Linked DNA regions of Xenopus tropicalis. The protein of the gene in region 2 purifies or fractionates together with the protein of the main gene of each other region. This does not show direct contact. Links are inferred from orthologs where the notes say so. Each region holds a gene or a part of one and is shown on either strand. Other genes may lie near its edges.

Region 1 (3,753 bases), about 130 Mb from region 2:
CAGGCCACTGTAATAGAATGTGATGGAGGAGCACAGCTGTAACGAGAGCAGTGATACAAGAGAGGAGTGATCATACAGGATAGTGACCATACTGAACCTGGCTTCAGTCTTGCACACACGTCTGCTGCCATTGTCACAGTCCAGATGCCAGTCTGGGGCACAGTGTGAGCCAAGGAACAAGCTGAGCATCACTGGCCACTAAGGATTAAGTATTCATTTGGTTTGTATGGGCCCAGTACTTCCCTACACCCACAGCAGGTGCTTCTGTGATCTCTGTCTCTATCTGGGTAAAGGCCAAATCATAGGTATAGAATAATGAAGATATTGTGAATTGTACTGGACCTTGCAATAAGCAGTGTAGCTTCAATCCCACTGTTTCACAAGTAGCAGACATCTCTAAACAGAACAAGTTAGGGTTATCACCATTTTTTTTAAAAAATAATGGCCTTCCCATATTTCTGTCTTTCCTCCCTATTAATAACATTGGCATTGCGCATCATTTTTACCAGACAGGCCATTATATACCGGCAGTGCAATGTTGGTTCCCAGTGTGATGGCAATCAGAGTTTAGGGCACTAGAACATGATGTAAGCACATGGGAATGGGTTAAATTAATGTGCAGAGTTGTAAAATATAAAAAGTAATACACATAACGCCATCAAAAATCCTTTAAACTCTACCCTTATAATGCCACCAGTTGCTCAGAGATGTAATTTCACATGTCACATGACTGTTTCCTTGTGTATTATAACAGATAATATATCCCCTGGTTTTGCAAAATATAAGGATATTAGACATTTCTGGAGAGTTCCATGACCTGTATAAAAACATTTGTTTGGCCATTGAACTCCCCAGAGCCTTCTAATACCCTTATAGTTTACAACTGGGATATTTCATTCCCTATATTTTTGTGTGAAACAGAGAAATATTATTATCCCCATGCAGCCATTAATGTGCTTTAATGGCCTTGGAGCCACAGACAGGAATTGTTTACACAGCAGAAAACCTCATTGGCGCTGTACCAGCTATAGGTCCAACTACAGTGAGTGGCTACAGTGAGTGGCTACAGTGAGTGGCTACAGTGAGTGGCTACTGTAAGTCTCAGCGCCATACATGCACTTGCCGGCTATGACGTCAGTGCCAGCCATTCCTATTGCCAACCAACGCGCCGTCAGGGAAGCGCAGTGAGATGACGCAGGAGAAACGTCAGCAGCGAGTAGCAGCAGCACAACACTCCCTCAGCTGCCCAGCTAAGCTTCCCAGGGTCCGGGGCCCGGAATCTGCCAATGATGCTGCCACTTGGTTTATTGCGATGAAAGCGCTGCAGGAATAACCGATCTACGGGCCGCAGTTGCTGCAGCGCTTCTGTGCACCTTGTGGCGTTGGGGGCCTGCGTATGACCGGATGATAGGTAATGATAATGGCTGTCAGCTGCTCTGTGTGCCTGTCATTCACACCATTCGCAACATAGCACTGCAGAATCTCCATGGCTTGCCTGCGCTTCTGTTGCTGCTCTGTCAGACATAGGCTACTGGGAGTTGTAGTTGCACACAGACAGTATGGCATTCTTGCTTAAAGTAATCCGCTGATTAGCATGCTTAATCCTTTTATTGCTGCTAGTTATGATTTGCCTCCAGGTACAGTGATCCTGGGAGTGTGGCACCTTGTTTACTTTTGGGCTCTGAGTGGCCTGTGACTCAAATACTGGTACTGCTTTGTGCTATTGGGGCGGATAAAACATGAAAAGTAACCACTGGTTCCAACCTCTGTCACTGCACTTCCTCAATACAAAGTCATAGCTGTAAGTTTCTATATGAATCAGCTGTCTGAGTCCCAGAGTAGGGGGACCAGATAACCAGAAAATTCAGGGCCTAGAATTTTCCTTAATACTTGTCATAGTATTCTCCTGGGGTAGCAGGTTGTGCTACTGTGTTCTAGTCTGAAAAGTAAAAAACATAAAGAAATTGACACTCATGATGACATTTGTGGGAGTGAGCAACTCCATTACATTGTGACCATTGGCTCAGGGATAAATGGCATGGGCCAAATCAGACAAATATTTGGTTGTCTGAATACTTTACCAAACAATGATCTTTATTCCCTTCTGTTCCTTCCAGTACAGATGGACAGGATTTTGCCAGTTTAGTCAAAATATGTCCCATTAACAACAAAAACAAAATCTACCCTTTCATCCCTTGGAAAGTTTATCACATAAGGTGAGCCAAGTTGCCTTGTTTACCTTCACCCTGATGATTATGGCACATGTGATATTGTTTGGTGCCAGGCATATAGTCTTATTGGAAGCACCTTCCTGCTGTTTTTGCCTTTGGAATCCTTTGTCATGGCAGTCTCTTTGTTACCTGTGGTGGGTTTGATACTGTGGGTTCCTTGTCTTGTCTCCTTCTTAAGGTTTCTGACTCGGGGAATGGGGACTACCAGACGCATTCCTGTACATGGGTGCATTTGGGAGATAGGTACTCACATACATAATGCTGTGGAATCTTCCCAAATGTAGTTAGTTCAAGAGCTGCAGATAAGACTATGGGGCTGTTCATCTTCAGGTCTGTGAAAACCCAACACCCATCTTTTCCTAGAAAGTATGAAATTGTCCTTTCGGTTTGTAGCCCATAGCAATTTCCAGACAATCAGATTTCATCATTTTGGAGCAGTTTGATTGGTTGCTGTACAGCAAATATGTTAGTATGTGGTTTTTTTAAAGCTTTAAAATTTATGGATGGGATGCTGCCAGAAGAACTATGCAGTTATCTAGCAGATACACAAACAATAGTCTTTGGTTCCAAAATAAGACATGTTATTTGAATGCAAAGGCAGAAGAATAATTGTTCTGAAAGGAGGTATATATATGGTGGTATATATGCATTTCCATGGCTCTCTAATTCTGATAATGGGCTGCAGTCAAACAGGTTTGATTTCATTGTATTTAAAATACTAAATGGCTTAATACCTCACTGCTTGTTAAGGGTAGTGCCACATGGGGCTTGCGTATAAACATAGGCAGAGAATCCACCGGTCTCTGCTCATTCATGTGTCTGAACTCATAGGCACTGCGTTGGCCTGGGTGCAGACACACAAAGCAGATTTCGGTGTAAAACTACATATGTTTTCCCGGAATTCCCTCTGGCACTGTTCCCTTTAAGCTGTGTACTCATGCACGTGCACACAAATCAATACATTTTGAGTATATTATTCTGATATTTGTACACCAGTTTTTCAAAAGTGAGCACAAAGAAACTTTTTGTGCACAGAACCAAGAAATTAGAGGGAACATCCATGTGTCTGCACCCAGGCTATTGCAGTTACAGTGAGTGCAGAGGCCTGAGGATTGGCTGATTCTCTCCTCGTGTTTTTACACAGACTGAGAATGAGCCCCATGTGGCACTACCCTAAGCAGGAATTTAATTTATTACTTGATTTGAGCAGGGTTGTGGAGTCGGTACATAAATCCTTCAACTCCTACTCCTTAGTTTATGGTACATTCAACTCGACTCCGACTCCTCCGATTCCTTCACTTTAAATACACTAATGTATTTTCTATGTTGACCAAATAGAACACAACATACAAAGCATTTCATCACTGCCAAAACTCAGCAGTTGTAAAGCTAGATGAAGATGGTGTCTGCTTTTGGGAACAAACCAAAGAACTACTTGCTAGGCAACTGACGCATTATCCTATTGGCCATACAAGCCTTTCACAGCCAACATGAATGAGGATACTGTTGAAGTTTGGGTCTA
Region 2 (3,753 bases):
TTGATGTGGTCCCCGAAACGACTGCGCCCATTACAGTCGTTATAATTCGATTGTTTGGCCCCAGGGCCAAATGACCAAACAGGGCTGGAACTAGGGGTGGGCAGAAGAGGCAGCTGCGTAGGGCGCAACGATTGAGGGGCCTGCCTACCCCTAGTGCTACTTTGTCATTGCCTCCACCGCTTGTCATTAGCGGCAGAGGCAATGACCAATCTAATCATATCGCCCCCCCCTGCACCTCCTCCTGTGCTTTGGTGCGCATGCGCCGTTCGGGGGGGGGGGCGGGGAGGTGGGCGGAGTTGGCCGACCGGGTTGCCTAGGGCGCTCAGTCGGCTTGGCCCGCCCCTGCAACCAAATGAGCCTAAATTCCCCTAAGGGTGGGCAATATCGGGAGAAGATCTGCTCGCTTGGTGACCTCGCCAACAGTCTCTCCTCACAACCTTCTCTGGGGCCTGGGTGCAAGTAAAGGACCCCTCCTGCCCCCCTTTGGTTTCAGCCATTTTCCTCCTTATGGCACAAGTACCCAAGCACACCGGCTCCACTATGGGGGGGTAAAACCACACAGCAGCCCCTCCCATATGATCCACCATGGGATTTCAGAGATCTGGCAAATGTTAGGGATCTGTAACAAGGAACAAATAGGAATATATGACAGGAAGGATGTGCCCACACACACAAATACCCCCCCACTCTGACTGAACACGGGGCCGGGGCTCAGACCTCATATCCGTGCCCCATAATATCCCAGTTACCACAGAAACCCACATTTCAACCAGCTGATATAATACATGAATAATAAGAGTTAAAAGGTCACACTTCCGGTGTCTTAACAAGGATTGACAACGCCTACTTCCGCCCGTTCCTTGCAGCAACAGCTGCTCCTGCCTACCAATAGACGGTCGTCTCTTATTTCTGCCTCGCCTCTCCTTTTATCTCTAGGCTAGGCCTGGTTAAGAAGACGGACAATTTCTTTAGCCAATCAGAGTCAAGCAGACAACGGCAGGAGGCGGAGATTGCAAAAATAAACGTGTCATTGGAGAAGCTGGGTAACATGATGGCCAATCATAAAGCAGTATCTATAAAACGCCAGCCATTGAGAAAGGAGGGGGGGGAAAGCGCTGAGTAGTGACTGAGAAGCTCGATAATTGGTTAGCTACGTCGTCTTCTCTGCCCCCCCTCTCGCCAATCCGTGTAGTTGATTGGTTTCCATGGGCTGGTGAGTGATGCGGGCGGAGCAAACCGAGATCAGAACGTCATGAAGGAACTGGCGAAGGCCCGCCCCCTCCCTTGCCCGTATTCTCAGAGCAGAGTTACTCAGTTTCGCTAGCGTGCGGCTCGTTGGACGCGTGGTGCGCTACGTCATTGAGCAGAGAGGGAGGAGAGGATTGCGGGGAAAAAGACCGACTGGCAAATGCGGTCAGTCGGACGGAGAGTGACAAAGGGAAAGAGACCGAGCTGGAAGCGGTTACCGGACACGGATACGGTGGAGATTACCTTATTTTAACGCCCTGCGCAAGGGATTCTGGGACAGTACCGACCCGAGGTCCAACGGGAACCGAATTTCTCTGCCCGGTGATTTTATCCTGCGCCGCAGCTTCCGCCCGGGAACCCACCCCCGGCCCTGACAGCAAGTGCCCGGCTCCCTGGGCCCACAACTCCGCTCTCTCCGCCCTCTCTCTGCCCGCCCTGTGTGAGAGGCGCCATGGCCTCAGCCTGTGCCCAAGCCCCGCTCCCTGCCCGCCATTAACCCCACCTGCCCCGGCTAATACCCCTACTGGGGCAACATCTGGGCTACTACCCGGCCCTGGGGCGAGATTTGCCCTTTACCCACGCACTTCCATAATTACCCCTAGGGCAACATCTGAGACATCCAGCTGCCCCTGCTAATACCCCCATTGGAGCAGTGAGACATCCAGTTGCCCCTGTTAATACCCCCATTGGAGCAGTGAGACATCCAGCTGCCCCTGCTAATACCCCCATTGGAGCAGTGAGACATCCAGCTGCCCCTGCTAATACCCCCATTGGAGCAGTGAGACACCCAGCTGCCCCTGTTAATACCCCCATTGGAGCAGTGAGACACCCAGCTGCCCCTGCTAATACCCCCATTGGAGCAGTGAGACATCCAGCTGCCCCTGCTAATACCCCCATTGGAGCAGTGAGACATCCAGTTGCCCCTGCTAATACCCCCATTGGAGCAGTGAGACATCCAGTTGCCCCTGCTAATACCCCCATTGGAGCAGTGAGACATCCAGTTGCCCCTGCTAATACCCCCATTGGAGCAGTGAGACATCCAGTTGCCCCTGCTAATACCCCCATTGGAGCAGTGAGACATCCAGCTGCCCCTGCTAATACCCCCATTGGAGCAGTGAGACATCCAGTTGCCCCTGCTAATACCCCCATTGGAGCAGTGAGACATCCAGTTGCCCCTGCTAATACCCCCATTGGAGCAGTGAGACATCCAGCTGCCCCTGCTAATACCCCCATTGGAGCAGTGAGACATCCAGCTGCCCCTGCTAATACCCCCATTGGAGCAGTGAGACATCCAGTTGCCCCTGCTAATACCCCCATTGGAGCAGTGAGCTTCCCACCCCCATCGGATCAATATCTCGGCTTTGCGACTGAAACCTTTGCCTGAGACCCTGTCAAGGGCAATATTGTGCCACAAGTGGGGCAAAATCACAGATTCCTGGGGGCAACTGTCCTTATTCCCCCCCCAGACGACGTATGACCAGATCCTCCTAGTTCTGCCGCTTTCCCACTAGAGCAGAACCTGCCCTGTTGCCCTGCCTGTGGTGCAGTATTGTTGCAGTACCACTTGAAACTGCCCTTAATACTTGAAGTATTGCCCCTGCAGGCACAAGCTTTGGGCAACAGCCTCCGGAACCTGCTCTGTGTGGCTCCAACCCTTCAATCCATCGCTAAGGAGCAGTAGCCCTGTTACCCCCCGAGCGTCACCTGTGGCCCCGGCAGTGACAATCCCGTGGCCCTTGCGCCTGTGACTAAACCACTGATTCCCGGCTACATGGCCTACTGACACCCCGGCTGCCATATTGTGTGCCCGACTGGAGCCCGAGGGATGGTCTATAAATAGTGATCGTCGGAGGGGAAAGGTGACAATACAGAGGTGGGGGAGAGGGACCACCGCGCCGGGTAGGCCCCACTGCTTTCGGTAAGGGCTGAGAAGCTTATTGTGCGCCGGGGCCTTGATGGTCTTGCCCTCCATCTGGCTTTGATCTACAAGAGAGAAGGAGGTGAGGGAGGAGCCGGAGAATCATGTCGGGGAGGCCGAGAACCACTTCCTTTGCAGAGAGCTGCAAACCCGTGCAGCAACCGTCATCTTTTGGCAGCATGAAAGTCAGCCGTGAGTATCCCTTTGTAGCACCGTGCCCGTGTGTGCCGTAACTCCCCGTAACCCCCCCCCCCCAGTGTGAAGCAGAGGAAACCCGGCTACAATAAGGGGAAATGTGCCCAATAAAGCTGCACTCACGCCCTCATCCTGCATGTAAACCGATCCCACTGAATTACCCCTAATACCGTAAGGGCCTCGCGCAATTAGGAGTTATTTTTGGATTTTACTGAGGTCCACCGAGATGCCAGTCTGGGATTAGGGATGTCACTCAGTCGCCAACGAGGAGTTTGGCCGTGACGCCCGTCCCTGGGAGTCTGTGCAGAGGTCTCCTCCCCGGATGGTCTGCAGAACCCACAACTCTCTGCATTGAGAGATATTGCACTCACTTACTGTTATTTCAGCAAAGT

The links.
Region 1: the proteins of gsk3b (region 2) and akap11 purify together in Homo sapiens (affinity purification with mass spectrometry; 4 studies listed by BioGRID and IntAct, with this or other methods). This does not show direct contact. The link is inferred for Xenopus tropicalis from reciprocal best matches to the Homo sapiens genes GSK3B and AKAP11.

The regions. Positions count from the first base shown.
Region 1 is NC_030678.2:132,784,385-132,788,137, forward strand, and holds the start of akap11 (A-kinase anchor protein 11), read left to right. Parts: upstream 1-1,175; 5' UTR 1,176-1,411; intron 1,412-3,753. UniProt on the Homo sapiens protein: Binds to type II regulatory subunits of protein kinase A and anchors/targets them.
Region 2 is NC_030678.2:1,861,726-1,865,478, forward strand, and holds the start of gsk3b (glycogen synthase kinase-3 beta), read left to right. Parts: upstream 1-1,111; 5' UTR 1,112-3,270; coding exon 3,271-3,358; intron 3,359-3,753. UniProt on the Homo sapiens protein: Constitutively active protein kinase that acts as a negative regulator in the hormonal control of glucose homeostasis, Wnt signaling and regulation of transcription factors and microtubules, by phosphorylating and inactivating glycogen synthase (GYS1 or GYS2), EIF2B, CTNNB1/beta-catenin, APC, AXIN1, DPYSL2/CRMP2, JUN, NFATC1/NFATC, MAPT/TAU and MACF1.